3 linked regions of the Callithrix jacchus genome follow. The protein of the gene in region 2 binds, or shares a complex with, the protein of the main gene of each other region. Links are inferred from orthologs where the notes say so. Each region holds a gene or a part of one and is shown on either strand. Other genes may lie near its edges.

Region 1 (10,763 bases), on a different chromosome or scaffold from region 2:
CAGCCTGGCTAACATGGTGAAACCCAGTCTCTACAAAAAATACAAAAATTAGCCAGGTGTAGTGGTGTGCACCCATAGTCCTAGCTACCCTGTGAGGCTGAGGCATGAGAATCACTTGCACCGAGGAAGCAGAAGTTGCAGTGAGTAGAGATCGAGCCACCGTACTCCAGTCTCGGCAGCAAAGTGAGACTCCATCTCAAAAAAAAAAAAAAAATGAACTGAAAAATAAAAAAAATAGAGTTCCTATTTCCCTGCACAGTGACCAAGCTTGGTATTACCAGATTTCAAATTTTCCCAATGATAAGAATGAAATGTTGGCCAGGCACGGTGGCTCACACTTCTATTCCCAGCACTTTGGGAGGTCAATGGGGGTGAACCATCTGAGCTCAGGAATTTGAGACCAACCCGGCCAACATGGTAAAACCCTGTTCTCTACTAAAAATACAAAAAAATTGGGGAGTGGGCCCCGCTGCTCAGGCTGGGTCCTCACCCTCCTTAAAAAAAAAAAAAAAAAAATTAGCCGAGTGTGGTGGTTTGTGCCTATAATCCCAGCTACGTGGGAGGCCAAGGTGGGAGAATCACTTGAACTCAGGAGATGGAGGTTGCAATGAGCCAAGATCACACCCCTGTGCTCTAGCCTGGGCAAAAGAGCAAGACTCCATCTCAAAATAAATAAATAAATAAATAGAATAAAATGTTATCCTTTTACTTTGAAAATCTTTCTTAGTGAGATTATCTTTTCCTGTATCTATTAGCTATGTGAGTTATAACCTTTGTGAAGTCATATTCTTTATTCATTTTATTAACCCTGTTAGTAGTTCTTAATATAATTCTGCATACTGATTGTCTGGTCAATGTAACTCAGGATGGAGCTAACGGTTAAAAAAAAATTACAGCTAGAGCATGACACTGTAAATTATTTCATTTGAGATGGAGTCTCGCTCTTCTCACCCAGGCTGGAGTGCAATGGCATAATCTCGGCTCACTGCAATCTCCAATCTCCGCTTCCGGGGCTCAAGTGATCTTCTTGCCTCAGGCTCCCGAGTAGCTGGGATTACAGGCACACGCCACCATACCCAGCTAATTTTTGTATTTTTAGTTGAGATGGGTTTTTGCCATATTGGCCAGGCTGGTCTCGAACTTCTGACCTCAAGTGATCCACCAGTCTTGACCTCCCGAAGTGCTGAGATTACGGGTGTGTGTCACCACACCTGGCCTGTTAATTACTTTAATAGTAAGCTTTTTTTTTTTTTTGGCAGGGGGTAGGGGACAAGGTCTTGCTTCAACATTCTGGGCTCAAGTGATCCTCCCATCTCAGCCTCCCAAGTAGCTTGTCCTGCAGGTATGCACAAACACACCTGGTCAATTTTTTTATTTAGTCATGATTTTTTTAACTATTAGATCCATAAATTTTGACAGTGATAATTTCCCCCCAAATATTAGACATCATTTTTCCACTTATCTTTAATAAGCTATATAAGACAATTCACCTAAAAGGCACAAAAAAAAGAATGTAATCAATTTAATTATACAACAGATAAAGCAATTTCTGCCTCTTCTTTTAAACATATTTGACTCTTTCTAAAATGGATTATAATCATGTCATTTTTCTTCCAAACAGGAAACCGAGAAATACTTACACGTTCCATTTATATTAAGACCACAAGTCCTGTACACATATTTCTAAGTACAATACCAAATAATTAATATTTTATTTACCTTTTCAACTTATAGTATCTCCTACAGTTTCTCAATATCCTTCATTTCTCTCAATATTACACAATGTTATAACCTTTAAAAATAAACTCTTCCAATGCCGGGCACAGTGGCTCACACCTGTAATCCCTGCACTTTAGGAGGCAGGAGTGGGCAGATCACAAGGTCAAGAGTTCAAGACCAGCCTGGTCAACATGGCAAAAACCCCGTTTCTACAAAAAAATACAAAAATTAGCCGGGCATGGTGGCACATGCCTGTAATCCCAGTTACTCAGGAGGCTAAGGCAGGAGAATCACCTGAACCCAGAAGGCAGAGGCCACAGTGAACCAAGATCACGCCATTGCACTCCAGCCTGGGTTACAGAGCAAGACCCCATCTCAAAAAAATAAATAAATAAAAATAAAATAATAAACTCTTCAATACAAGTGTCTAATACATTAAAATTTAAATATTTTCACCAAAGAAATAAAATATAATGGATACCAACTTTGATACAAATAAAGGAAAATCATTGGATGCTAATTTTAGCATCTAATTTCACCCGTCCACAGGTACAAATGCTCAGAAAATGATAAACAGAATTGTTACTATCACTAAGATTTATAAGCTCATATAAGCCATACTCTACTTCTCAAACTCTAACATAGTTACCTCTGCTCTGAACATTTCAGGATTCTAGTTAAAGATACATAGTTTCCTTCCACTGTCCCTTTGCTCACAGTTGGAACAGATTTTCTGCAAGCCACATATAAGGCACATGCTAACCAATGAAGATCATTTCCCTGTAAAAGAAAAGAAAATCCATTTTTAATTAATAAGCTATATATCTATTTCAATATTTTTTTAAAGTATGTTTAAATGTTTATATGGTGGTGCAGGGTGAAAAAATAAAAGAAAGTGTTTATATTTTTGTGGGAAATTTATTTTCAATAAGAACCCTATCTCATACGCTCTTCTTTTTTTTTTTTGAGATGGAGTCTCGCTCTGTCACCCAGGCTGGAGCACAGTGGTGTGATCTTGGCTCACTGCAACCTCCCCCTCCCAGGTTCAAGTGATTCTCCTGCCTCAGCCTCCAAGGTAGCTGGGACTATGTGCCACCAGGCCCAGCTAATTTTTGTAGAAACGGAGTTTCACCATGTTTGCTAGGCTGGTCTTAAACTCCTGGCCTCAAGTGATCCATCCACCTCGGCCTCCCAAAGTGCTGGGATTACAGACATGAGCCACTGTGCCTGGCCCCACATGTTCTTCTTATAATGTGACATTGACATTATTTTACTGAGAGGCAGGGAAGGTTCCCTCACCATGGAGGTGGGCAGGGGTCTGCACACTGATTAACTGTCTCTATCAACAGCAGAGGTAGAAGTGATACTATGTAATTCTAAAGATTATACAAGGCAATATAGATTCCACTTGGTTCTTTCTCTTAGGACATATGCCTTGGGAGTCCTAAAAAAACATCCAAGAATTCAGTTACCCGGTATCACCATGCTGGAGAGACCACCATGGAACAGACATACAGAGATGCCCAATGAGCTCCAGCTGTGCCAGTTCCTAGTTGCTCAAGTCTTCCAGGTGAGGTACCAGTCATTTTGATGCAGAAACCTGATATCAATATTGTCCCTGGCCTGAATTTCTGACTCACAGAACCTGTGAGCAAAACAAATTGTTTTCTGCTCCTAAGTTTTAAGGTAATTTGTTATATAGCCATCGGAATGGACATAATATTGTTGTTTGTATTTTTAATCTTGCTCAAAATCTAGAAAATTATAGAAATACAAAATTAAGCTTGAATGGACATTCAGCCACTAATTTTATACCTAATCAAAATACATACATGAATGCATGAAATTTATTCTTATAACCAAATGAAACTATTGTAGATTACTAACATATTATCATTAAACAATAATAATTTTTAAGGCATTGCTTCTAAAAGATCATCCTCACAATTCTTTTTTATTCAAGAAGTGATACAACTTTACTACTCCTATAAAAGAGAGCAAGGATGGAAGATGTCCTTTAGTTTCACTGTATCCATTACTGGTCTAAAGGAAAATAAGAAAAACTGGAAGTTCTTCATTTTTCACATTTATACATAGACTATCTTAAAAATCCATTTATATGTACTAATAGCACAGATGTATTGTCAAAAAAAACCAGCCAACGTTTGTGTATTACACTTATCTCTGGGAGATGGTTTCACAATATTCGTTATTTATAATGTAAAAGCAAATTTAGATTTATAACTACTGCATTTCTCTACTATATCAAATCTCTTAGAAAGTATAAAGTCAGTCACAACATTATCCTGTGCTTTAATAAAGGGTTTAAAAGATAATCTATAATGGTCCATTTTGGTTCTAGAGAATTCACAACTACTTGGAAGGTGGAGGGAGAACAAAAAAAAAGAAAGAAAGAAAGGTCACAACTATAACATTCCTGAAAAGAAGAAAAGAATTAGTCTTGCCAGGTGCTGTGGGTCACGCCTGTAATCCCAGCACTTTGGGAGGCCGAGGCAGGTTGATCACGAGGTCAAGAGATCAGGACCATCCTTGGTCAACATGGTGAAACCTCGTCTCCACTAAAAATACAAAAAATTAGCTGGGCGTGGTGGCGTGTGCCTGTAATCCCAGCTACTCAGGAGGCTGAGGCAGGGAGAGTTGCCTGAACCCAGGAGGCAGAGGTTGCGGTGAGCCGAGATCGTGCCATTGCACTCCAGCCTGGGTGACAAGAGCGAAACTCCGTCTCAAAAAAAAAAAAAAAGAATTAGTCTTGTGAGAATTTTACAGCGCTTAGATGGCAAAATGGAGCAGTAAGCTCTTTTAAATAATCTATGCAAAGAGCAGACTCTATGCCTAGTTTATCTTGGGTCCTAAAAAATATTTGTTGAAAAATTGCATATTACTAAAAAATAGTTATCCTCAAAATTAACAAATCATGGCCATATCTTACAGGGTCAAATAAATCTGGTTTCAGATTCTGGCTCTGACACACTGTAGCTCTAACACAGTGGGGAAATTACTTAACAGTCTCAGAGGCTGCATTTTCTTGGCTGAGGGCTGTCAGAATGAGTTACAAATTAAAAATGCACAGGAAATACAAGAAATCGAGTTAAAATTCCATAGCCCATAATCTGTATTAAATTTCCTATGAGCTTTATTTTCCCTTCCACTGCCGTGAGAATGACATCCCACATTATCTCACAGCATACCTGACTATAAGCCTCACAAGAGCAGGTATTTTTAGGCTTTGTTTACTGCTCTGTTTCCAGCACCTAGAACAGTGTGTAGCAAGTAATATTTGTGTTCAAGAAATATCTGATGAATTAATATTCATTCAATTACTGAGTAAACTAGGCTAAGAAGCTGAACCTAAAGTCTCAGTAATCAAAATATCTGAGTAATCAAACATGTGTTTTCAAAAATAATTTACTAACCACCTATTATGGGACACTTGCGATATACCACTAGAGTTCATACACATTAACCGCTATGAGTTGAAATAACTAAATGGTGGTAATGCTTGTTCTATCTAATTTACAGGATTATCCTGAGGGTAAAATTAAGAACTTGTTTAGAAGTCCTTAAAATGCCCTTCAAAAAAAAAAAAAAGCCAACCAGTCCTTCTCTTTGCCAGACTACAGAAAGTCACCGAGAGATGAGCTTGCTCAGCCAAATCATGTAAATATACAAAGAGTTTAGTAAACTTGAAAGCACAGTCCATATGGGTGCTTTATGCGCCAGAAAATACATTATTACCTTATTTAACCTTTAACAGCTCTGTGAGGTTAACACAAATATCTCCAGTTCAGAGATCACAAAACTAAACTTTCTGGTGGCTAAGTAAATTGTTCAAAGTCACCTAGGTCTGTCAGGTTCTAAAGGCACCATACACTATCTTTCTTCTGCAGATATAACAATTCAAAGAGGGAACTAGTAATTGAATTAAAATGCTATTAATGCAAATACAAATTTTAAAATAACCACTCCGGACACATAGGCAAAAACATACTATAAATAATACGTCGATTACGCCTTTGCATCCGGGCCTATTTGTCCCACTTTTTCTACAAAGTATATATAAAACTACTTAAGAAATCAAATGGCCTCAGGTTTAAATGCCACATACACACAGGCAAACAGCTGATAAACAATCCGGACTTCCGTGTCACTTCCCATTGGCGCATGAAGGGGAGGTGCCTACAGAGCTGACAGTCACTGGCTAGAATGGCCATTTTTCTCATCTGCAAGCCCTGTCCGAAGGCTGCGACCTAACGCGCCCGGATCGCGATAACAACAGGAGTCCGGTGCAATACCCAGGGTGACCAAAAGGCCCTCGAGGTAGCCACAGTCCTGATCCTAGTGACAAATGGGGGCATGTATCTGTATCCGGGTCGGCGGAGGGCTCATTTCATCTAGGCTGGGAGGAAATGGGTCTTAATTTGTTTACACAGACATAAACATAGCCCAACACCCATCAGCGCGTAGACTCAAACGCCTCCAACGCCTGGGCAAAGGCGATTTGGTTAACAGCGGGAAGCGAACAGACGGAGAAGCCTGGAGACCCAGGCGCCACAACCCGATTAATCGCGGCGCAAATAAGGAAAGGCCCCTCCCCTCCTCCGTGCGGTCTTGACAGCGACACCGGTTCATTCTACTAACAAGGCGGGTGGGGGGGGGGGGTGTCAGATGGGCCACACACACCCATGTTCCTCATCGGGACCCCAGCGCTATCTCAGCCTCGCTGTGCTACTTTAGGGCAAGGGGCGTTCCCCACTCGGAAGCCGCAGGGAAGCGCGGAGAGACCCCGTTCGCCCAAGGAGCGGCTAAGAGGCTCGGAATAGCACTGAGGGGCCCCACCCCTGTCCGGGCTGGGACCCTGCAGCCCACCCGAGGGTCCCTCGGGGCGCGCGACGCGGCTCGGAAGGCACCGGGCTCACGCCGACTAGGCCGGAAGCGCCCCTCCAGCCGCGAGCGCACCTCCAGCGTGTAGCTCTCGCTCATGCTGCGGTAGCTGTCCCAGGCCTCGGCCCGCGCCGCCTCGTCCATGTTGAGGCGGCTGCACAGCTCGTCGAACCGCTGCTGGATCTGAGGGGTGGGCGACTCGGCAGGCGGCGCGGCGTCCTCCGCTTCGCCGTCGTCGTCCTCCTCCTCATCCGAGGCTGCCGCTGCCGCAGGAGGAGGAGGCGGGGGCGGCGGCGACTGGTCACCTCCCGACGGCATAGCGCACCCCTAGGCAGCCGGTCCTCAAGTGAGGTGAGGGCCCGGGCCCTCAGCCATTCAAACCGCGAAGCTACCGCCCGGCGTCGTCCGCACCGCGCCTGTGCCGCTGCCAACGTCGCTGACCTCCCGCAGGCACCCGTAGTCTTTGAGCACGGCCTGCTGGGAAATGTAGTCCAGGCCGGCAGTTCACGGGGGCCAAAAATCGTGTTTAAAAAAAATTAGTTCGCCCAGTTTCACTAGGGGTGAAATAAAAGCACCTTCCCCGCATTTTAAGCACATACCTCCCCATCGTGAGAACATTCAACAAGGCTGTACAGACGAGAAAATGTCCAAGAGACACTGACGTGTAAAGGTTTCGTATCCAGGCTGTTCTCAGAAGTAAAACTTCCTCATCACCTGGATATCCTTATCTAAAAAATAACTATAATAGCAAGGGCTTGTCTGTATTAGTTCACGAAACCGACTTTGCAAAATATCCTAACAGTGAGAAAGTTAGGACAGTGAAAGGGATCTGACCTAAATGACTCCATGTTTCTCACCTCCCAGCTACCCTTGTTCATTTCCGGGCGCAGACCAAACTAACTAAAAGAGAAATTTAATTTGTAGTTCCAATTTGAAGCAAAGATGTTAACAGCCCTTTCCCAATACAAACCCTCTTCTTGCCTGGGGATCAGTCTGCCTGTATAAAACTAACAAATTAGCCACCAGATTAGAAATTATGATTTAGGAATTGCAGCCAGAGGCTACAAGATTCCTAACCTCCCCAATTGCTCTTAGGGATAACATCACTATGTAAAACCTAAGATTGGTGCTGGAGATATTTTTCAGACCCCGCATTCTGATGCACGAGCTGGGGCCGCTCAGACCTCAATTTGGCGCAACGAGTTCTGCTATCCCACCCAGGAACAGAATACAGCAAGATCCACTTCAACCCCCTATGATTTCATCTCCCACCTGACAAATAAGCATTCCCCACTCCCTGGTCCCCTACCCACCAGTTTATTATTTTTAAAAACCCAGTCTCCGAATTTTCTGGTAAGCTGATTAGAATAACCAAACTCCTCTCTGCGGTTCAGCTGGCTGTGCGTGAACTAAACATTTTCTTTATTGCAATTCCCCTGTCTTGATAAATCGACTCTGGGCAGTGAGCAAGTAGAATCCGTTGGGCGGTTACATTCAAATCCAAGCACTTTGGAGGCCAAGGCTGGCGGATCACCTGTGGTCGGGAGTTCAAGACCAGCCTGACCAACATGGTGAAACCCCGTCTTAAAAAAAAAAAAAAAAAGAAAGAATTCAAGGCGTGTCCACAGGGCAAAGCAAAAACAACTTTATTAAGAAAGTAATGTGATGAAAGAACAGTTACTCCATAGAGAGTAGGACATTCCCGAAAGTAAGAGGAAGAATGAACCACCCTAGGTACAATACTTGTTTATACATAAGATTAAAAAAGATTCATGGTGAGATGTGCTCTGCTACAAGCATTTGTGATAAAGAATTAATCTTCTTAATTACTATATTTTGCAAGAATCAATATTATTATCTTTAAAGCAAAATTAGGAATGCTTCTGTTCCCAAGATACCAGATATCAGGACGCTCCCGAGTCTGGGTCTGTTTCGTAAACATTATTAATCTGTTCCCTTAACTGTAAACATCTAGAGGCTAGGAGTACCTAACTTTCTGGGAGTGCAGCCTAGCAAGCCCCAGCCCCATTTTTCCTATCCTTCACTCAAAATGGAGTCACCCTGGTTTGAACGCTTCTGATATGGGGAAGTTAAATTTTCTTGAGGTTGTTATTCGATTTATGAAGCTTAGTCATAAAACGCAAGAGGTCTTTCACCTGACTGGCACATGTGCTATCTCTGTCTCTCATTCTCTCAATCTTTCCTCATTCACTCTTTGAACCCAGCCAACATACTGTGTGGGAAAGACCAGGTCACTGTCTGTCAAAGATAAACAAGCCAAACGTTATTTAAAGTGTGAAAAACAGATTTTACCCAGTAACTACCAATAGACAGCAGGGGAAAGAGCTGAGCTTCATTCCAACTTGTATAAATGTGACTGGGCCTTTTAAAGAAAGAGTAAAAGAGGAGAGGAAGGAGAGAGCAGAGCTTGAGTAAAAAATTACAAAGGGGGCCAGGCACGGTGGCTCACACCTGTAATCCTAGCACTTTGGAAGGCTGAGGTAGGTGGATCACTTGAGGTCAGGAGTTCAAGACCAGCCTGGCCATCATGGTGAAACCTCATCTTATTAAAAAAAAAAAATTACAAAGGGCGGGTCAATGTTAATGTCCTTAGGCTAGTTGTGTCTCCTAGCCAGCAACTATGAAAATCAGGCTTCTGTCCCCACATAGACTAGAAGATGGAGGCCTTAGTCTTCCTGATGATTTCAATGGGACAGTGGGGGCAGAGGGCCTGGGATCATTTCAGAGACTTGACACTGATCTCCCAGAAGCAACACAAAAATTTGATCCTCACTGTCTCCTACCTCCCTCTCTCTTTCTTCCTTTTCTTTTGCTCTTGAGAGATGATCATCTCTTAAGTGCAAAGGTTTGGAAGGAGCCTCTATGTGCCAAGAATTCTGCAGTTATCACCACATGGTGACCCAAGGCCCCTGACCCTCGGCTGGGTTGAATGAGCCAGTTTAGAAGCAGAAGCAGATCCTTCAGCCTTCAGTCAGGCTGTTCCAGCTGATGTTGTATATAACAGGGATGAATCTTCTCACTGAGCTTTGCCCAGTTGAAATCTGTAGGACAAAAAAATTATCTTTGACATTAACATTCCTTCAAAGAAGGAGATTTTAAGTCACAGCCATTTTTGATCATGGAGGTTTAACTGATTGAGTCTTAGTTGTTGAGCAAGATGCTTGGAGTTGAAATTGCAACTGCCCAGTGAGTTCTTCTGGCCTGCTGCCCAGGTAGAGCCAATTTATCAAGACAAGGGAATTGCAGTAGAGAAAGAGTTTAATATATGCACAGCCAGATAATGGGAGACCAGAGTTGTATGATTCAAATCAGTCTCCTTGAAAATTTGGAGACTAGAATTTTTTTAGGATAATTTGCTGGGCAGGGGTCTAGGGAGGGGAGAACGCCGATTGGTGGAATTGGGCATGAAATCACAGGGAGTCTAAGCAGGTTCTTCCTGGTGTCTTCTGTTCCTTGGTGGGATTGCAGAACTGGTTGAGCCGGATAATCTGGGTGGTGACAGCTGCTCCATCAGAATGCAGGGTCTAAAAATATCTCGAACACCAATCTTAGGTTTTGCAATAGTGATATCCCTTGGAGCAACTGGGGAGGTTAGGAATCTTGTTGCCTCTGGCTGCAAGGCCCCTAAATCAAAATTTCCTAATCATGTTGCTAATTTGTTAGTTCTACAAAGGCAGTCTGGTTTCCAGGCAAGGGAGGAGTTTGTTTCAGGAAAGCACTATTATTATTTTTGTTTCAAAATTAAACTATAAACTAAATTCCTCCTATAGTTAGTTCAGCCTGTGCCCGGGAAGGTACAAGGACAGTTTGGAGGTTAAAGACAAGATGACATGGTTTAGTCAGATCTCTTTCACCATCATTTTCTATCATACTTTTTGCAAGATAGTTTCAAAATGAGAGTTCTAGAATACACTTACCCAACACTTCTTTTCCTTATCTTACCTCCTTGTCCTCCCAGAAGCAGGAATGGCTATCTTGATACACAAATCTGATTGCCATATTTTTTAAGATGATATATATATAGTCAGCCCTCCATATCTGTGGGTTCAATATCTTTGGAAAAAAATTATAAAATTTTTTTATATTTTTAGCACAGACAAGGTTTCACCATGTTGGCCAGG
Region 2 (10,815 bases):
CTATATACATCCCATTTATGAAATCTACTTTAAGGTTCTTACAAAATACTTTAAGGATGTAAGTCCAAAAACATTATTTTGGTCTTAAAAGACTAGTTTCCAAGGAGTAATTTTCCTAAAAACTCGTTCATTTTAACCATAAAATTCTGCCCCTCACTTTTTATCCACATACTTTATTGTGAGAAATTTCTGTTTCTACATGAGGCTTCATTCTCTGTTTTGCATTTCAGCATGGTCATCAGTTTCAGACACTGATTTATATAGCCCATCCAACGTTCAGTAAGCTGGGCTTTTTGAGTGGGTAAGTGTGAAGGAGCAAGTAGAATTCCTAGAATTATCTCTCTACCACTGGGACTTTCCTAGAGTCTACCTACTTCTTAGTTTTGGCATCAAGTTATTTCTACATATATTTAAGTGAGTATTGAAAAGACAATGTTAACTTTCAAATACATGTGACCACAGAAAAGATCCTAGAAATGTATCAACATCACCAGCTACAAAGAAAGATGTCTGAGAATGTCCATAACTTGCAAAGACACCAAGGAAAGGATAAAACCCCACAAATCACCTCACCAATATTCCACTTTCACCATTTAACAACAAAAATGTCCCATCACTGAAAAGTGGTTAGACACCATCAAAATGTATCTCCTCTATTTGTCTACTTTCATATAATCTTTTGATATTTCTGTATTAAAGTAATCAATGCTGGTAATATGTAAAATTTAATAAAATCGGCTTCCTACTATATAGTTTAATAAACCATTTCTAGCCTAGTGTAATTATCTAGAAGATAGCAAAAGAAAATAACATTATTTCTCTAGTCACAAAGCAATAATAGATTAATTTAGTCTTTTGACTCTCCAGCCCAGGACTTGGTTTCCAGAATGATTCTGCCAGTTTTCTTAAGTCAAAGAAAACATCTACTTGGCAAATGTCTAATATATAACCAAACTACTACATTCAAATGTAAACAGTTTCATAGATTGTGTGTGTGTGTGTGTGAGAGAGAGAGAGAGAGAGAGACAGAGAGAGAGAGAGAGAGAGGGAGAGTCTCACTCTGTTGCCCAGGCTGGAGTGCAGTGCAACTGTGCAATCTTGGCTCACTGCAACCTCCGCCTTCCAGGTTCAAGCAATTCTCCTGCCTCAGCCTACCAAGTAGTTGGGATTACAGGCACCCACCACCACACCTGGCTAATTTTTGTATTTTTAGTAGAGACAGGGTTTCATCATGTTGGCCAGGCTGTTCTCGAACTCCTTACCTAGTGATCTGCCTCAGCCTCCCAAAGTGCTAGGATTACAGGCGTGAGCCACTGCGCCCAGCCATAGATTGTGAATTAAAGTGATTAGGGTGATTATGAAACAGTGAAAGGAAGCACACAAAAAAATTGTATAACTCATTAGGCCAGGACAATAGTTAAGAGTAACTTTACATTGGGGTGTGAGCTAACAGGACGTGATAGTTAGGACTGTCTGTGAAATAATACATACTTGATAAAATAATTCACGTGCTATTATTAAGATAGAACATTTAGAAGTTCAATTTTAGAGGACAACAATTATCTCACCTAAAACCAGTAAATGAGGTAGTCCAAGGAGGAAACTGAAATTTTTAAAAAATTTGTATTCTAAAAGAAATAGTTCTATGAAATTTTGCTCTAGTAAAATTGCATCAACTTAATATCTTTAATCACAAACTAACTCAGGTCTGAATTCTTCATAACAGACAAAAAGAATACATCTTTATTATACAATCTTGGAGGACTAGGAGCTGGCCACTTAGTTTTTTTAAAGTCCAATCATATTCAAGGTATGAAAATTTACCAGGTTGATTTAATAAAGTGAAATTAGGCCACCCAGTGGCTCATATGATGTACTGCAGACATGAATATTTTATTTCCAAATCTGGATTGTGCAAACCAGCATTATCACAGTAAGACAAATTTAACTTTACATAACCTTTGATCGTTATTAATAGCAATAATGAAGAGAGTTCTACCTAGCAATTCCATAAACAAAAGCAATATGAGAAAATTTATATTTCATTAGTATGGATATGCTTTTAAATGAGAAAAGATTACAAAATGTCTTCAAATATATATATTAAAGCTAGAAACTACCTTACAAACCATAAAATCCAAAATCCGTATATTAACCAGATGAAAAACTGAGGCAGAGTTTACCTGCTTCCCCAAAACAACACTGCCAGTTAATGACAAAACCGATTAAAAGATCAGTTCTCATATTTCAGTATAATTTCACTCCCACCCGGTTTGCTGGAAACAACACAGTAAAATTGCTTCCTACACACACACATATACATACCACTGAAAAAACATCTTCTATTTCAAGAGCTGGCTTTTATCTTTTCAGTTAGTGCAGTCACAGGTCATCTCAAGTGTAAATAATCTATTACTAGTAAATACGTTTCTAAATATTTTATAAAAGTTTATTTTAAAGGGTAAAACTTTTAAATCTAAAATTAATTATGTATATATAAATATGCTTAAAAGTCAAATATATGTTAATAACAGACATATTAATTTTAGTATTGCCTGTAAATTGTCATTACAACTCCCAGTGGGATGTAAAATTATTTAAAGTCACAATACAAATAAGTCTTTTCCTGTATGTAAATCTAGAGGAGAGATACTACAGCTATCTTAAACAAAGATCAAAACAACCAACATCCTGCAGTTGTTTCACACTTGAGGTAACACTTAGTCTTCTACTTTGTTTTTTGTTGTTGTTTTTTTTCCAGATCACATAGCATAAACATGTATTACAGGATTTACGCCTATACTCTTAGGCAAAACTTGTATACAGCGAACTATAGTTTTCACTTGAATGCTTACATGGTTGTATACTGGAGATCTCAAATTACAACCTGAAGTAACTGAATTATTTCTTTTCCCTTTCAACTATGAATTGAGTTCAAATATATTAAGACACTTAGCTAAAAGGCAAGAGATATTTTTCCCAATGACTATTTTTGCTTCAAAACAATTCACACTCTAATTTGTTTTTTGTTGAAGCACAAAGCAGAGCATCTACTATCTTCTAAGATACGTAAATCATATTTACACATGCAAGAAATGTAGACTATGCAACATATTCGGGTATGAAGACTTAAGAGACGTATCATTCAGAGATGATAATGTATCCCCACATCCTCTATCTGTATACTCCCAGGCAGAATGTAGCTTCACCCCACCACACTTAATTACTCCAGATTTATACCTCTTTAAATCATTCTATTGTGTTTAAATTAACTTATACAACTGGCAAGAAATAAATGTCAAAAATATAATTAATATTTAAATTTCAAGGTCACAGTATTGTCAATAAAACAACTTATACAGGGAAACTAACATTAAGTCATTTTTCCTTTCTTTGTCTATTATTACGAAACATGCACTACATACATAGGAAATGGACAGAAAACCCACTGGGAAGGATAAAGTTCTGACATTTAAACATTCATGTTTACCCAAAATTTTAATTTAACTAAATGCTGATAGCAGAATGAGCCAAATAACTGTTTCAAATAAAATTAACATAAATACTGATAAGTAGATAATATCAAACATTAATAAATTTGATATATTCATTTGTCATCTTAATAATTTTTAATTTTTTATATATTTAAAAATTCAAAAAGCCTAAACCGGTACTTCAGCAATCATAATTACAAGAGCTTTAAATATCTATCTTTTCTGAAGACTGATGTTAACTGGGTCCTTGAAGTTCTAGAGGGGTGGTTCTTTCCTGGGTGCTTTTGTCCCCCGAAAGATATCTGGCAATGTCTGGAGACATTTTTACTGTCATGACTGAGGTAAGTGGAGTGTTACTATCTCTACTGGGTAGAAGCCAGCGATGCTACTAAACATCTCCCCGTTACATAGAATTAACTGGTCCATGATGTCAATAGTGCAAACTTTGAAAACTGTTCTAGAGGGATCTGTGTATAAATTTATTTCATCTCAAGGGTTTGTCCTATAACTTATTACAAAACTAATAAGCTTACAGGGACTTAAAGATTTCTGCAGAAGCATCTTGCACACAGCAGATGCTTAACAGACAAATAAAGCAAAAAACTATTATGTATAGTTACTGCCGATTTTTAGCAGAAATATGCAGTGAATGACCTCCATTACTAAATTTCAACTTAGGAAATACATCACTAGTTAAGACTTTAGGGCTGTGGATCTAGGTAAGTAAAATATTTGGAAAGTCTGCCAAACATCTTTTCAGGTTTATTTGATAATGCTGAAAATCAGAAGATACCCTGTATTTTTGTTATCTGAGTAATTACTCCACATAATTTATGAGTAGCTGCTGTAATGCATATAAATTCATCCTAGCACATTTTCCAGGCCCCCCCCCCCCAAAATATGCCTTACCTCTGTGCAACACTTAGATACGGTCAGAGCCAAACACAGACACTCAAAATATTAAGTGAATCAAACACATTGCTTTATTTTAACATCAAGCTACTAATAGTAACAATGTGGCATGGTCCCAGTAGAAAATATTAAAATATACATATATACATAAAGCTGAGAATATGGGTATGGGAATTACAGAAAACATCAAAAAGGTCCTCTCAGCTATTCCCCAGAGGATTTTCCACAACGTTTCGAGGTAGCCAAGTTGGCAGAAGGGTGGCCACCCAGGTTCACCGCGTAGTTCCTATTTTGACTGTACGGTTATTCAGAAGAGTAGCCGGAACACCATTTTCAAGTCCTCCCGACAGGACAAAGCCACTTTTCTCTGCGTAGCGAACTCCCTAAAAGCGCTCGACTTACCTGGCAAGAAACCTGCCTCCAAGAAGTGGCAGCGTGAGGACTGGAGTCTGGACGCGCATTGTGGGGAGAACCACGGAGCAACCTGGGCATCTCTTACGCCCCGCGTCTCACACCCTGGTCCCCAACTCTCCACACATCGCGGTCGTGCTCCGGCCATCGAGGCGGCCGCGGGAAGAAAAACCTCTGCCCTCGCCGGGGAGGGCCTTATGGCGGGAGGGGGCAGGGGGAAAGGAAAGAGAATCTGAGCCGAGAAGGCGCCGACAGGCCTGGGCAAAAGGGGTGCCACCCACCTGCGCGACCTCTTCGCCATCCTTCAAGTACCGCATAGGGGCGGGCTGGACGGGGACGCGGGTCAGCCTCCTCTAGCCTCCGGCGAATGCTCCTTCTCCCTGACCCTCTAGCCGCTTCCCTCGCTCCCTCCGAAGGCAGCCGAGTGCGGAACGCAAGTCCTAGGCAGGGTGCGACGGAGGGACAGCGGGGGCGGACCGCGACCCGCTCCTGGCCCCTGCCCACAGCGCTGCTCCTAGCCCCGGCCCGGCCGGGCCAGGGATGCCCCCAACATGTCAGAAGGCGCGCTCCCGCCCTCCGCCGGCCTATCCCACCGCTTCTCAGCCTCCCCGCCCCGGTCCCAGCGCGACTCCGCCACAGGCGCCGACCACCGCTCTCTACCCGCAGCTAGCAGTTCTGCAGGGATCGTAGTTTCCTGCAGGGTTTTGTCCGCACCGCCGAATCTCGCGCCCAGCCTCCCTCAAGAGCCGCCGTTTGAATCTGCGCACGCGGCCCTGAACCTCATTGGCTGTGGGGGCCGCACGCGAAGGAGTGAGGGCGGGGCAGGGAGAGCGCGCGCGACTGAGGGCGGGGCTGGGGAGCTGGAAGCCGGGACTGGAACTCGCGGGAGCCGGGGAAGGAGCCGGGAGCCAGTGGGTGGGGCTGCGGGTGGGGCGCGGGTGGGGCGCGGGCGGGGCGCGGGCGGGGCGCGGGCGGGGCAGGGCGATCGAGCTGTCATAGGACCCGGAACGCGCCGAGAGGCGCACCGCGCAGGGCCTGCTGGGAGAGCGAGTTCCTGCGCTCGCCAGGAGCGGGTCCGGAAGCGGCGCCAGAACCGTCCAGCCGCCCCAAATTTCTAGGGTAAGCGGACGGAGTTTCTGGCAGAGTGAGTGGTCCCGCTTCCCGGCGGGAGTAAGTCTCTGCAGCCTCGCCTCGGCCACGTTCCTCACTCCTTACGCGTCTCCCTCCTCACTAGTTAGGAGGAACGGTCTTCTGACCCGAGACAAATGTAACCACAAATTTGCGCGGCCGTTATTTTTTAAGCAAACATGTGAGCTATTTTTACCCAGACGTCATAGCTACGAGAGTGACGAAGACTTTGGCAGGAAACCAAGTATCGTCTATTTTCCTCAGAAAGCAGCAGAAGCGTGACAAGTGAAAAAAGTTCCTAGTGGGAGACGTGCTTGAAACGGGAACGGGAGATAATCCTTGGCTGCCGTTGGTCCTCGAGGTGCTCAATTTCGTGCCCAGCTCTACGGGAAATAACGTGCGCGGCGGAGGAGCCCGGTACTGGAGAATAACGCGTGAAGACGGCAGTGGACTGGGCATTTTGCCCAGACGAATGAGCATGGTAGTTAAAGTGTAGAAGGTGACCTTCCTTCCTCTGGAGAGACTAGGGAGGGGGGGAACCACCGGAGGAGTTTCTAGCGGTTGCAGCTACTCGAAGTTCCAAGTCTAATAACTACAAACTGTTCAAGTAGCATTAAAGTAGATTTGCTACAGTAACAGTTAGAGTCGGATAAGGATCTAAATTTGCAAGGCAACATGGTCTACTGCATAGAGCACTGAGCCACATGTTAACACTGTAACAAACTGACACTTGCTATTTTGAAATTTTACGCATCATCTTTTGCAAATCAGATGCAGGTGCAGAGTGAATTAAAAGGAGCTGAATTGAGAGAAGCTTGTATACACTACTGTCAAAACTTAAACCCACTGACTTTTAACAGTTCTCTTTTTCATGGTATAGGTTCTGGGAAGGTAAAACAGGTTTCTCTCTCTCTCTCTCGACAAGGTCTTGCTCTGTCGCCCATGCTGGAGTGCAGTGGCACAATCATAGCTTACAGTAGCCTTGAACTCTTAGGCTGAAGCGACCCTCTTGGCTCGGCCTCCAAAGTAGCTGGGACTACACCCGGCCAAGTGTTTCTTCCAGATCATTCCTTAATGGGTTACTGGTTCAGTTTAAAAATAATAATAATAATTTAGAAACTAATTTAGACATTTGAGTTCCCAAATTTCATTATGTTCCCAATGTCATTTGGAATCACTGTTTCACTGTTTTCGTGTTTACCCCTGGGTCATACATTACTGCACTTATTTAAATCTAACAGGCAGCAGAGCTTCTGCTGTATTTTAGAATGTATTCAATTTTATACAGAATACCTTTTTTAGAGCTTGAAGACAGATGTTTTACATTTTGACAGTAAAACAAATTTCCCTCATTTTTACATATGGAGAAAAACGATTCCCAGAAAGATAACATTGTGAAATTACTTAAATCAGTTATAAAACTCAGGGCAAAGTATGGAATTAAAGTGCACCATAGTCATTTGAATACACATGCTCAGATGTATGATAAACTAAGGAGGGTTTTTTTTAAGCACATTTAAAGATTTTATTCAGAGTATATAAAGAACTCAAAACTCAGTGAGGAAAAAATATTTTTTTTAACGGGCAAAAGATTTAAACAGATTTCACCAAACAAGATATATACCTGACAGGCACATGAAATGATGTTCTACCTCATTAGTCATTGGAGAAATGCAAATTAAACCACAATGAGGTACTACTACACATCTGTTAGAATGAGGGTGGAAAATGACTGACTACAAATGTTGGTGAAGATGAAAATGCTGAGCAAGTATAATTTGCATACATTGCTGGTAGTGATGTAGAAAGCCATTTTGGAAAACGTTTATAGTGGCTTTGTTTTTTAATTTTTGTGGGTACATAGTAGGTGTATATATTTGTGGAGTACATGAGATGTTTTGATACAGGCATGTAACGTGAAATAATCACATCATGGTGATGGAGTATCCATCCCCTCCAGTATTTATCTTTTGTGTTACAAACCCATTACACTCTTTCAGTTATTTTAAAGTGTACAATTAAATTATTGACTATAGTCACCTGTGCTATCAAGTAGTAGGTATTTTGTTTGTTTGTTTAGACAGAGTCTCACTCTGTCGCCCAGGCTGGAGTGCATTGGCACAATCACTGCTCACTGCAACTCCACCTCCCACATTCAAGCAATTCTCGTGCCTCAGCCTCCCAAGTAGCTGGGATTACAGGCATGTGTCACCATGCCCAGCTAATGTTGGGAGTTTTGTTTGTTTGTTTGTTTGTTTGGAGACAGTCTCACTCTTGCCCAGGCTGGAGTGCAGTGGCACGATCTCAGCTCACTGCAATCTCCACCTCCTGGGTTCAAGCATTTCTCCTGCCTTAGCCTCTCAGTAGCTGGGATTACAGGCATGCACCACCATGCCTGGCTAATTTTTTGTAATTTTAGTAGAAATGGCAGTCTCACCATGTTGACCAACCTGGTCTGGAACTCCTAACCTCAGGTGATCCATCCACCTCAGCCTTCCAAAGTGTTGGGATTACAGGCATAAGCCACAATACCTGGCCTAATTTTTGTATTCTTAGTAGAGATGGGAGTTTTGCCACGTTGGCCAGGCTGGTCTTGAACTCCTGAGCTCAGGTGATCTGCCCACCTCAGCCTCCCAAAGTGCTAGGATTATAGGCATGAGCCACTTAAGCCTAGCCTATTATTATTTTGTTGTTGTTGTTGAGACAGAGTTTTGCTCTTGTTGCCCAGGCTGTAGTGCACTGGAGCAATCTCAGCTCACTGCAACCTCTGCCTTCCAGGTTCAAGCAATTCTTTTGAAGCCTGGTCTAGTTTTAAAGTTTTTAGAGATGGGGTCTAGCTGTGTTGCCCAGGCTGGAGTGCAGTGGTGTGATTATAGCTCACTGTAACCTTGAACTCCTGAGCTCTAGCAGTCTTCCTGCCTCAATTTCCTAAAGTGTTGAGATTATAGGCATGAGCCATCTGTGCCCAACCAGGGCCATTCTTTAGAGATGCTGGTGTGGTTACTAAGAGAAACAATCTTCCTTGGTCTTCTTGCACTCCTATATACATCTTGGTGGGTGTGCCAAGATGCAAGGCCCCGAGTACTCTTTTACACAGGCCATTTCTAAGGATTGCTTGCAGCTAGTTGCCTTGAGAGATGACGTAACATCTCAATCCAAGACAAAAACCAGATTTACTTACTGCTTACTATAAAAGCAGTGGATTCCCAAGTTCAGTGTTTCTCAACTGTAGCACAAATCCACTGTATGCATGACATCCATCTGGGCCCATTACATTGCCCCATGGGACCTGAAAGCAAGAGTAACTGGCACAAATACATTGACGCTCAAGGTGTTTGTTGTGTTGTAAGTAATACCAATACTTTGTCCTTGACCTAAGAGTCTGGTGTCTTCTGGGAAAAAGATCCATGAGCCACTAACAGTTTAACTTAGCTTGTTAGGGTAAAATCAAATCCCAGCCCTGACAGCTAGAGTATCATGAATGAAGGGGCACTCACAGCCCCTGTCACTCTCCTTATTATATTTATGTTTCCATGATGTAGATTTTTATTTTTCCAATTCAAAATTTTATTTAGAATTCCTAAATTCTTCAGCCCAATTTTTATTGGATAAAGTGCATGTCTTCTGATTGAAAGTAACCATTGGCCAGGCGCAGTAGCTCAGGCTTGTAATCCCAGCACTTTAGGAGGCTAAGGTGGGTGGATCACAAGGTCAGCAGATACAGACCATCCCGGTCAATGTGGTGAAACCCCATCTCTTCTAGAAATACAAAAATTAGGTGTGGTAGCAGGCGCCTGTAGTCCCAGCTACTCAGGAGGCTGAGGCAGGAGAATCACTTGAACCCAGGAGGCGCAGGTTACAGTAAGCCAAGATCCCACCACTGCACTGCAGCCTGGTGACAGAGTGAGACTCTATCCCCCCAAAAAAGTAACCATCATCAGATATAACAAGAAAAAGGAGAAAAGAAAGAAAGAAAAGAAAAGGAAAGAGAAAGAAGAGAGGAGAGGAAAGGAAGGGGGAGGGGAGGAGAGGGAAACCATCAGCACCCTTCTCTCATAGCTATAGTTTTGTTGGATATGGAGCTCCGGGGGCATAGAAAGCATTCGTAGATAATGGTGACCCCTTTCACGTGAACGGCTAGCTTTTGCTTATTTGGTAAAAGGATGAAATCTTTGAAAATGATAATCTGAACATTCTGATTTTTAGTTTTAGGAAAACCTTTTAAGAGCTACAATACTGGACTCAAATGCTGGAAAGCTAGTGATACTCTGCTGTTCCTCTTTAGTGAATTATGGATAAATATCATAGTAAACAAATTAGTACAAAGTTGGTTTGTTTGTACATATTCATGTCAATCACAGTAATAGGGAGGTAGTGGTATAATATAAAATTTCTGGGCCGGCCATGGTGTTTCACGCCTGTAATCCTAGCACTTTGGAAGCCAATCAAGGCAGATGGATCACAAGGTCAGGAAATCAAGACCATCCTGACCAATGTGGTGAAACCCCATCTCTACTAAAAATACAAAAATTAGCACGAGGTGGCACGGGCCTCTTATCCCAGCTACTCAAAAGGCTGAGGCAGGAGAATTGCTTGAACCAGGTAGTCAGAGGTTGTGAACTGAGATCACACCAACTGCACTCCAGCCTGGGCAACAGAGTGAGGCTCCATATCAAAAAAAAAAAAAAAAAAAAAAAAAAATCCACACAGAGCACATAGCACCTGGTACTATAATAAAGATTGAGAATCCCTATTCTTAGAGAAGAAATGCTTATTAATCCTATTTATTTCTTATTAGTCTTATTCAATTTAACAGTTCTTGAACACCTACCCATGCTACACATTGGTACTACAGAGATAAATTTTGCTC
Region 3 (10,810 bases), on a different chromosome or scaffold from region 2:
TGATGGTTGCTCTTCGGTTCTGTGCCACTGGGTGGCAGCTGAGCCTGGGCTTGGGAAGGCCGCAGAAAAGGAGGAACAAACACTTTTGCTCCACAGTGGTGGGGGCTGAGCCCCATTCCCCTGCTCTTCGAGCACAGTAGAAGTGCCAGCGTAGGAGCAGGAGCTGTGGCCAGAACTGCGCAGTGAGGGGAGGCTGGAGAAGCCAGGTTTCTGTGGCTCTCAAGCTGTGTAGGGGTCAGGTTGGGGAGGTCCCCAGGCAACCCCCAAGTCAGTCTGGGTCCCAGCCACACAGGCATGTCCTTGTCAATCAGAGGTTGAGAACAGGCACATCAAAGAGGTCACAGACACCTTCACTCTCATCCAGGTTGTAGATGTAATCGTGGTCTCCAGGGGGTGGAGAAAGACGGAGCAGGGGGGCAAACACTGCAGAGAACACTAGGCTCAGGCTTAGGCCAGGGACCCCCAAGCAATAGCCCAACCCCAGCCCATACCCACTCCCACCTTCCAGGGCCACCCACCTTCTGAGGACATCAACTCCTCCAGCAGCTCTGAGCTCATGCACTCTGGGAATGGAGAGAACTCAGTTACTAATATTCCAGTTCCCACCTCTCCACCCACCAAAGCCCAGGAAAGGAAACCCCACCCGCCTATCAGGAACTTCACCCTTTGTCCCAGTTATCATAACATCACAAGGTCCTCAAAAGGGCAAAAAAACAGCCCTAGGACCCAACAAGCTGTGTCCTTTACCCTAGCCCCAGGAAGGAATGCAGCAGCCTACCTCGTGTGGGATCAAAGATTTCTGACAGCTCTTTGGGGAGTTCCAAAACTGAAAAACAAGAAAGCCATACTCAGGGCTCAGAAGTCCAGCTTGGTCCCACTACATCCCCCTGCCTTCCTCAGATCCTACACCACCCACCCTGAGACTCCACACAGCCGAGGAGACGTAGGGCCTGCCTAGGCCAACCTGGCACTGTTGGCCTCACTTGCTAAACTGGAATTCCTCAGGACCGAGCCCAGGGTATCAAAGGCCCACTGCAAGTGATTGGTACAACTTTTCTACCTCTGAAAGGCCACAGAAGAGCAACAGACTTCCTTCCCTTTCTGGGCTGAGCATGTACACCCTGTCTGATAGAAGGTACCCCATCTGTCCCATCCTTGCTGAGTACCTGATCTGTGCAAGACTCAGAGACCAGACCCTGGGTCAGGTCAGCCGGCAGAGGTGGTGGTGCTACAGGGTGATGACTTCACTACAAATCTCTGGTCAGGGGATTTGCAGTGAAGTCCCCTGGACACAGGGGAAGCAGAAGAAAATGCAACTAGAGAGGACCATGAGGGATTTCACATGCCAAGCTCAGGAGCTCAGATCTTATCTGGTGGCCCTCAAGGAGCCATTAAAGGTACTTTTGCAAACACAGAAATGCCACATTTCTGTCAGGCCTGCATTTCAGAAAGATCATTTGTCAGGTAAAGAGAAAGATCCTGAAGAATCCAGTACAGAGGTGGCTAGGGGTCATCCTGAGTGCTGAGGATACCAGAGGATAAGAGGGGACATCTGGGACAGACCTTGCTGAGCTGACATGGGGTGAGCAGCAGAAGGAGGAGGGAGGAGATGGAATTAGAGTGAGAGCCAAGGGTCAAGCCTGGACAACTAGAGCCAACGGTAGGGTGCACAGAGGTGGAAAGCAAGCTTCAGAAGGAAACTGAGTTCAGTCGATGACAGGCGGGAATAAAGTGTCCATTGTATGTTCAGAGGATGGCAGCTGGACACCAAAGTGTGCAGACTGGGAAAAGATCTAGGCCAGGCAGTGGTTGGGAATTCGTTCACCCAGAGCTGCAGCCATCTCCAGGAGTGGAATGGGACAGAAACCTCGAAAGCACCAATGTTTAAGGATGTGCCAGGAAGAGTTCAAAAAGAAGCCAGTGAGGTAGGAGAGCCAAGAGCTGACATCATTAAAGCCTAAGAAAAAAGAACATTGACGTGAACCAAGAGAGCACCAGGCAAAACACGCTGGAGAGCTGTTGGGCTTGGCAAGCCTTCGGCAGCTTCTCAAGTGCACCACTGGCTGGGCGTGGTGGCTCACACCTATGAGGTGGGTGGATCACCTGAGGTCAAGAGTTCAAGAACAGCCTGTCCAAAATCAAGAAACCCCGTCTCTACTAAAAATTCAAAATTAGCCGGGTGTGGTGGCACATGCCTATAGTCCCAGCTACTCAGAAGGCTGAGGCAGGAGAATCGCTTGAACCCAGGAGGCAGAGGTTGCAGTGAGCCGAGGACACACCATTGCACTATATCCTGGGCAACAAGAGCGAAACTCCATCTCAAAAATAAATAAATAAAATAAAATAAATAAAAAGGTGGTACTGCTATAACACTGGGGCTACAGAGTGACTGCTCCAACCTGAAAGGTGACTAGGAGATCAAAATGTGGAATGGAGATTACTTTTTCAAGGTGTGCAGAGAGAAAAGAGACAGAGAAGATGAGAGAAAGTGATAGAAGTGTCAATTAGTGAGACGAGAATGGTGCTCCAAGGGGTGGCAGGAAGGGCTGAAGAGAGGGCAAGGAGTTCTGTGCTAGCCCAGGACGGGATACTAGAGAGGGCATCAGCACTGCCCCAGAGGTGCTGGCAGAGAGTTCTGGTCCGGCAAGGTTGACAGGAGCTAGGTTCCATCCCCAATTGTGTTTCTGACCTAGGGCTGGACTGAGACTGGACTCTGCCCCTGGGAGGAAGGTACTCACCACCTGTGGGGTCTGCCTTGATGGGCTCAAAGGAGTCAGAAGGATTGGGTCCAGATGAACTGCTGCTGTTACTGCTACTGCTGCTGCTGTTACTGCTACTGCTGCTGCTGCTGTCCAGCAAGGCAGAAGACTGCAGTGGCCGGGTGTCCAGTGCTGTCGGGCCCAGTGGGAATGAACTGAGCTCAGCACTGTCTTTGCTATCAGTTCCAGGGCCGCCACTCACTGCAATGACAGCCCCCGAACCTAGTCACACAAGGTCAGGAAGAGGTTATTGAATCTGGCTGGCCCCACAGCCAGGAGGACCACAAGCCTGGTTCTCAGACTCATGGAGAATTAGGCATTGTCAGTCGCCCCAGAGGAGGCAACCTGGAAATCAGTCGCTATAGGAGACAGGGGCACCAGACCTATGGAAAGAGACTAATGGACAACATGTCTGCTGTGACCCTCCTTCAAGATGGGCTACCAGGGCAATGGAGGTGGGGGGACTGCCACCAGCAATGTCCCTTTCCCAGAGTCAGAGGTTCCCTGTTAAAAAAAAGTCCCATTCAGCCAGGTGCGGTGCCTCAGGCCTGTAATCCTAGCACTTTGGGAAGCTGAGGTGAGCAGATCACGAGGTCAGGAGTTCAAGACCAACCTGGCCAACATGGTAAAACCCCATCTCTACTAAAAATACAAAAAATTGGCCATGCATGGTGGCATGTGTGTGTAATCCTAGCTACTCAGGAGGCTGAGGCAGGAGAATCACTTGAACCCAGGAGGTGGAGGTTGTGGTAAGTGGAGATCAAGCCATTGCACTCCAGCCTGGGTGACAGAGCAAGACTCCATCTCAAAAAAGAAAAGAAAGGCCCATTCAATTAACGAGGCATAGTGGCATGTGCCTGTAATCTCAGCTATTCAGGAGGCTGAGGCAGGAAAATCACTTGAACTCAGGAGGCAGAGGTTGCAGTGAGCCAAGATCATGCCACTGCACTCCAGCCTGGGCAACAGAACGAGACTCCATCTTAAAAAAAAAAAAAGCCCCATTCAGGTGGGCTCGGTGGTTCATGTCTATAATCCCAGCACTTTGGGAGGCCAAGGTAGGTGGATCATTTGAGGTCAGGAGTTGAAAACCAGCCTGGCCAACATGGTGAAACCCCATCTCTACTAAAAGTACAAGAATTAGTCAGGTGTGGTGGTGGTCACCTGTAATCCCAGCTACTCGGGAAGCTAAGGCAGGAAAACTGTTTGAGCTCAGGAGGTGGAGGTTGCATGAGCCAAGATAGCACCATTGCACTCCAGCCTGGCATTGCATTCTAGCCTGGGCTCCATCTCAAACAGCAAGGCTCCATCTCAAACAAACAAAAAAACCTCATTTGTTACCATAGCAAAGGAAGGCTAGATAGAGGTCAGGAAAAGGACAGTCCCTAATCTGAAGAGTCTCTTCCAACTCTGCATGTGGCATTCCACAACACAGAGCTACTGCCTCTTAGGACCCTGTCACAAGCTCCCATGGTGCCTCACCTGTGATCTCAGCTGCTGGGCTGGCCATCCCCTGGACTTCTGTGCTACCAGGGAAAGGAGTAGGAGTGAGCTGAGGACTATTTGGACGTGAGGCTTCCTGGGAATGAGCAAGGGCAGGCTTGGGCCCAGGTGGAGGCGTAGAAACAGCAGGTGGGCTCTGGAGCAGATCTTCAGGTGGTGGCACAGGCACAGCCACAGGGGGTGAGCTCCATGCCTCCTTGTTCACCAGCAGAACCTCAATGGGACCACTCACACTCTTCAGGTGAATCTGGTATTTCTTCTGCCCATTGAGACCCTAGAGATGGGTGGCAAGGGATGGGAGATGGGTAGAATTGGAAGCACGCTTGTGGTCCTGACTCCTGCCCAACTCTTGAGTCAGGACCACAGTATCCTCTCCCACCCAGGCTGCCCATCCTCCCAGATAACCCCGAACTCCAGGCCTCCCCCTACCTGCCCCACCCGGGACTTATCAGACTCCACAGCCAGCACCCGCCCTCAGCTGACCCCGCCTGCCTAGGCTAAGCACCCACCTCTGGGATGGGCACCTCCAGGCTGGTGCCTGATGGGGCCCGGATGGCCAAGAGGGTATCTCCTAGAATGACAGAGAATGGGTCAGAGCCCATAGGCTAAATCTGAGCTGGGAACAGAGGTGCCTGCCTTTTGGAGCAAGGCAGGAGATCATAGTCTCTGAGGGGCTAGTCAGTGGGTCTCACCAATCCCCTACAGTGGCTGAGCAGAACTAAAGCTCTTCTCTTTCTGAGGGTCAGTAACCAGGAAATCTGAGTTCAAGTATGTGGAGTGAAAGATCACTGGCCACAGGCACCTCACTCCACCAATGGCTGATCCCTAGGTGAAGGTGTTCTAGCCAAGGCCAACATCCCTTTCCCATGACCAGCCTTGGGGATGCAAGATGGAGAAGAAACACATCTGTAGGGCACAGTGGCTCAGGCCTATAATCCCAGCACTTTAGGGGCTCAAGCCAGTTAGACAGCTTGAGCTCAGGAGTTCAAGACCAGCCTGGGCAACATAGCGAGACCTTGTCTCTTTAAAAAAAGAAAAAGGAATAGATCCTGTATTCACAATACAAGTAAATAACAGGTTGGAAGTGGGCACCCCCATACCCTGCATACGAGCACGTAAGAGTCTGCACACAAGCAAATACACACATATCCTCTCTCCCCCTCTTCTCCCTTGTGCCTCTGTCATGCCCAAGAAGCCAAATCCAGGTAACAGTGCATATGGGAACAAACCCAGGGACTCACTCCAAAATTCCTGTACCCTCTCAGTACAGCTGACCTCCACAGGGTCCCAGTGCCCCTCAGACAGAAGACTTACCCTGCCTGGGTCCTCTTTGAGCAGGCCCCAGAAACCCTCTTGAGAGACACTCAAGAGACAGTGTCTCCTGAGACACTGAGCCCAGTGCCCCAGCCCACCCCCTTGTCCCTACCCAGGCTCTGCTCACCAGCAAAGCATCTGCAGATGTCCTCATGAGTGACGTAGGCCAAAGTGTGAGGGTTAAGGAGAATGGCCCTATGGTGACAGACGGCAGACTACAGAGAAGACCCAACTCTTTAGCCAAAGTCTGACACATAGGCCCTCGGAGAAAGTTCTGGGGACTGGGGTCCACCTGGGGAGGGATCACAGGCTAAGACTGGGAAGGGGCTCTGAGGAGGGAGCCTGAGGTTGGGACACGGCTAGGGGCTACAGGACAAGCTCCCAAGAGGGAGAGGGCTCAGGGCAAGTTGAACCAGAGGGCCCCTTGCCCACTCGCCACAGCAGAGACCGTCAGGAGGATATCAGCTGTTCTGCACGTCCTCTGTGACATTCCGGATGCTCTGCTGCACCCACACCTTGTGCTGGTCTAGTTCTTGCTCCCGCTGTTGCAGCTCCTCGATCTCTGCCTTGAGCTCAATCAGCTTGTCGGCAATCTCCCGGGTATTGCAGCCAGGCCCCACACCCCTGAGCCCAGGGAGTGGGGCCAAGAGGAACTGCTGAGAACTCTGGGTCCCACGGCCCCTGCTTTCTTCCACATCCTCCACCCCACACCCCTGACACTTCTGGGTGGGAGACTCTACTACCCTCCCACTATCCCCACTCACTTCCACTGGATGCTGTTCTTGGACTTTTTCTCGATCAGTCCGATACCTTCCAAAACATTGGTAATGTCATAAATCCGCCGCTTCTGGCGTACAGCTAGGGTGTCAGCTGCCTGGCAGACAGAATAGAGAATGATCAGCTCCACTCTCGGGTGTACCCCCAGCCACCCTGAGACGTGGTCTGGGAAGGGAGTAACCTGGGTTCCAACCCTGTAGTGCCTCTCAGGTGCTACTGCAGCTCAGGACCGCAGGGTGAGAAGAGACCTGGCGCACAGCCCTGAACTGGTGTTCTGAAGCTCTTCTCCCAGCCAGCCAGGAAGGGCCACGAGGACAAACACCTGCAGCCCCGAGCCTGGCCCATAGCTGTCGCTCAATGGCCTCGGCTGAATGAATGAAAGATCCCCCGGCCTCTCTCCTGTGAGAAAGCACACGATGGCGGCCAGCTCTCTGAGGACCCGGCCTGGCCGCCCCCGGGGTTCCCGCTACCGGCTCAGGCCTTGTCCACCACCCCGCCTTGTCGTCCCTTAGCCCGGGCCGCACCAGCTTGAGGTCAAGCACGCCATCCTTGGCCTCCTGCAGAAGCGACACGAACTTGGTGGTGAGTAGTCCCAGGCTCTTTTCGTGCCGGCTTGGAGTGCCCGGGGGCGGCGGCGCCTGTGGCCCGGCCTCCGCCATCTCACCCGCCCGCCGCCTCCCCTCAGCCAGGCCAGGCCGGCGCCGCCGCCACTTCCGCTTCCGTTCCTGCCCTCCTAGCCGCCGGAGCCAGAGTCGTTTCTTCCGCTTCCGCCGCATGTCCCTTCTAGGGAACGCGGCGCTATTTTTGTCTGAAGGCGCAGCCGCAAAAGTTTAGGGACCATTAGCAAATGTCCAGCCGCCTAATAAGACGAAAACTACTTAGGTATACCGGGAGTTGAGGATGAAGTTGGGGAGGAATGAGGAGGATGTCAGTTGGCAGCCCTGGCAGTAGAGAAAGGGGCGCCATCGGAACTTTCCTTGCCAATTTGCCCCAACATCACCAACTCTGTGCAGTACCCATCTCGGGAGAGGAGACCACACTACCCAACTAACCCAATCTGTTCCCTCAAACCTGTTCCTTTTTTTTGTTTGTTTTCCTATTTATTTAGAGACGGAGTCTCGCTCTGTCACCAGGCTGGAGTGCAATGGTGCAATATCGACTCACTGCAACCTCCCCTCCCGGGTTCAAGTGATTCTTCTGCCTCAGCCTCCCGAGTAGCTGGTACTATAGGCACGCACCACCAAGCCCAGCTAATTTTTGTTATTTATATATATATATATATTTACATATATGTAATTTACATATATATACGGGTATATCTATAGAGAGAGTTTTTTTTTTTTTTTTTTTGATACGGATCTTCGCTCTCGTCACCCAGGCTGGAGCACAATGGCACAATCTCAGCTCATCGCAACCTCTGCCTTCCGAGTTGAAGCGATTCTCCTGCCTCAGCCTCCCAAGTAGCTAGGTTACAAGCCCACACCACCACACCTGGCTAATTTTGTATTTTTAGTCGAGATGCGATTTCTCCATGTTAGTCAGGCAGGTCTCACTCAAACTCCTGACCTCAGGTGATCCACCCACCTTGGCCTGCCAAAGTGTTTGGATTACAGGCGTGAGCCACCTCGCCCGGCCATTTTGTTATTTTTAACATTGTTGTTTCTTTCAGGTCAGGTTCTCTGGGAAATGGGACTCATTTTGCAGCAAGTTTGTTGGTGATCCACACCTGTTTTTTGAGGTAGGGTCTGAATTTGTTTGTTGCCCAGGCTGGAGGGCAGTGGCAGGATCAATGCAGTCTCAGCTTCCTGGGCTTAAGCAATTCTCCCACCCCAGCCTCCCAAGTAGCTGGGACCACAGGCATGCACCACCACATCTGGCTCGCTTATTTTTAGTTTGCTTTTGTTTTTGTTTTTCAGTCGGAGTCTCTCACTCTGTTGCCCAGGCTGGAATGCAAGGGCACAATCGGCTCACTGCAACCTCCGCCTCCTGGGTTCAAGCAATTCTTCTGTCTCAGCCTCTTGAGTAGCTGGGATTACAGGCACCTGCCACCACACCCAGCTAATTTTTGTATTTTTTAGTAGAGACCGGGTTTTACCACGTTGGTCAGGCTGGTTTCAAACTCCTGACCTTGTGATCCGCCCACCTTGGCCTCCCAAAGTGCTGGGATTACAGGCGTGAGCTTCTGCACCCAGCCGTTATTTTTAGTTTTTGTAGAGATGAGGGGCTCACTATATGGCCCAGGCTAGTCTCGAACTGGTGGGCTCAAGTGATCCTCCCACCTCAGCCTCCCACAATGCTGAGATTATAGGCGTGAGCCATCGCACCTGGCCAGGATCCACATCTTTAAGGGAGTAAAACAAGCAGAATTGGGCAGATGCAATTATAGCCCTTGGAGAGATGCGATTATATTATAGGCCTCAGCCTATCCCACTGGGACGTCTGAAACTGGGCAGCACTACTGAAGGGTTCATGTTCACGAGATGGTACCATGCCTTTGCAACCGAATATTGACTGAGAGACTCAGTGGTGTGACCTCAGCAGCCCACACTCCTCGCATTTGGAGAATGAGTGCCTCTGTCCTGAAGGGTGGATTTGGGTGGTGGACTGAACATCCACTAAATTATTACCACCTTGTAGTCCCTTTCCTGGGTCCCTGTAATTCTCAAGATAAACATAGCTGCCCAGTTGTGGTGACTCGTACCTGTAATCCCAAAACTTTGGGAGGCTGAGGGAGGCAGATCGCTTGAGCTCAGGAGGCTGCAGTGAGCTATGATGGTGACACTGTACTCCAGACTTGGTGACAGATCGAGACGCTGTCTAAACAAAAAAGATAAACACACTTTTCATGACCCTATCCTCCCACCCCCGACCACACCCCTCTTTACAACAGCCTGTCACCTCTCACTTCTCCGGAGAGGTACACACCCTCCTCAGAGTCAGGTCAACACAGTTTCCATCCTGTGATGTTGACGTCATCTTCATTCATATCTGCACACTGCCCACCACCCCAGGTTGAGGCCAAGTCTAGCAAATCCCTGTCTCCTGTCCTGAGCACTAAGAGGTTCTGGGTGGGCTGGTCAAGACTTGTTGATCACAAGTACATCCCGCCCACCCCTGCTCAGGGAAGTGGCGCCCAGCCCTCCCCACCCTCCATGCAAATGCTTTTTCCTGTTGGGAATAAAATGCCAGAGACTCAGCTTCCTTCCTTTCTGTCAGTGGCCTTGGGGAGGGAGGAGCCTTGGTGGGAAAAAGGGGCTTCTGGGCTGGGGAGTGAGAGAAAGACTTCCTTGGGGAGAGGAATTCAGCTGCACGCTGGAGTCAGCTGGAGTCACATAGGCCCTGTGAGCAAGTGGCAGGCGTGCCCAGCTCCATCGGGGGAGAGGGCTGTTCTCAAGGTCAAGGTCATTTGGGAAGGGCGAACTGGACGCCTGATCAAATCTGGTAAGTTCTGTACCAAATTGTCCTGTGCAGCTCAGAGCAGGACCAGGTTCCAGTTGAGGCCTGTGCCCACCCTGTCTCACTTGGCATCTGCAGGGGCATAACTGGGAAACCTAGCAGGCAAAGCCTCCCAGGTGCCCACTGCATCACACCTCCTCCCTCTCATTTCCTGAGAGTACCAGGAAGAACCTCCTTCCTCCTTCTCAGAAGGGCCTAGACAGAGGCAGCAGCTCAGAGGGGCATCTACTCTGCCTGCTTGCCCCGGGCCCACCTCAGCCCCGGCTCCTCCAGGCCCGCAATGGACTCAGCAGCCAAGGATGAAATGCGGCCCACGTTGTCCCCTGGTATGAACCTTCTAAGTGGGCTGGGGGAGGAATGATGGCAACAAAGATGGGACTGGCTGGGTGTGGTGGCTCACACCTGTAATCCCAGCAATTTGGAAGGCCGAGATGGGTGGATGACCTGAGGTCAGGAGTCCAAGACTAACTTGGCCAACATAGTGAAACATGTCTCTACTAAAAATACAAAAACTAGCTGGGCATGGTGGCACACGCCTATAATCCCAGCCCCTCGGGAGTCTGAGGCTGGAGAATCACTTGAACCCTGGAGGCGGAGGTTGCAGTAAGCTGAGATCACCCCATTGCACTCCAGCCTGGGCAACAGAACGAGAATCCACCTCAAAAAATAAATAAAAAGAAAGATGGGACTGGGGGCATTGGGCCCTCCCCCTCCCTGACTGACATGGCTGCCCAGGCTCTTCCTGCCCAGGGCCTGAGTGGCCGGAGCAGGAGCGGGCAGAGCAGCTAGCCCGGGGTGCAGCGCTCAAGTGGGCCTCGGGCATCTTCTACCAGCCGGAGCAGCTGGCCAGGCTAGGCCAGTACCGCAGCCGAGAGGTGCAGCGTACCTGCTCTCTGGAAGCACGCCTCAAGGTGGGCATGGAGCAGGGTTGGGTGGGTGCTGGGACTGTGCTGCAGGGTTGGCCAGGCCTCACTGGCTCCATCTCTCCACAGTCAGTGATGCAG

What was found. The genes of interacting proteins can lie anywhere in the genome.
Region 1: MYBL1 (region 2) and RBL2 share a complex: the UniProt entries of both Homo sapiens proteins name them as parts of the DREAM complex. The link is inferred for Callithrix jacchus from reciprocal best matches to the Homo sapiens genes MYBL1 and RBL2.
Region 3: MYBL1 (region 2) and E2F4 share a complex: the UniProt entries of both Homo sapiens proteins name them as parts of the DREAM complex. The link is inferred for Callithrix jacchus from reciprocal best matches to the Homo sapiens genes MYBL1 and E2F4.

What each region holds. Positions count from the first base shown.
Region 1 is NC_133521.1:11,352,618-11,363,380, reverse strand, and holds the start of RBL2 (retinoblastoma-like protein 2), read right to left. Parts: upstream 7,057-10,763; 5' UTR 6,940-7,056; coding exon 6,697-6,939; intron 2,500-6,696; coding exon 2,369-2,499; intron 1-2,368. UniProt on the Homo sapiens protein: Key regulator of entry into cell division. Directly involved in heterochromatin formation by maintaining overall chromatin structure and, in particular, that of constitutive heterochromatin by stabilizing histone methylation.
Region 2 is NC_133517.1:22,488,964-22,499,778, forward strand, and holds the start of MYBL1 (myb-related protein A), read right to left. Parts: upstream 4,990-10,815; 5' UTR 4,868-4,989; coding exon 4,809-4,867; intron 1-4,808. UniProt on the Homo sapiens protein: Transcription factor that specifically recognizes the sequence 5'-YAAC[GT]G-3'.
Region 3 is NC_133521.1:24,700,465-24,711,274, reverse strand, and holds the start of E2F4 (transcription factor E2F4), read right to left. Parts: upstream 7,057-10,810; 5' UTR 7,010-7,056; coding exon 6,875-7,009; intron 6,448-6,874; coding exon 6,338-6,447; intron 6,198-6,337; coding exon 6,036-6,197; intron 5,745-6,035; coding exon 5,701-5,744; intron 4,831-5,700; coding exon 4,769-4,830; intron 4,534-4,768; coding exon 4,239-4,533; intron 2,982-4,238; coding exon 2,739-2,981; intron 827-2,738; coding exon 779-826; intron 564-778; coding exon 519-563; intron 424-518; coding exon 308-423; 3' UTR 1-307. Other genes in the region: EXOC3L1 (exocyst complex component 3-like protein), read left to right, coding at 10,087-10,132, 10,542-10,717, 10,799-10,810. UniProt on the Homo sapiens protein: Transcription activator that binds DNA cooperatively with DP proteins through the E2 recognition site, 5'-TTTC[CG]CGC-3' found in the promoter region of a number of genes whose products are involved in cell cycle regulation or in DNA replication.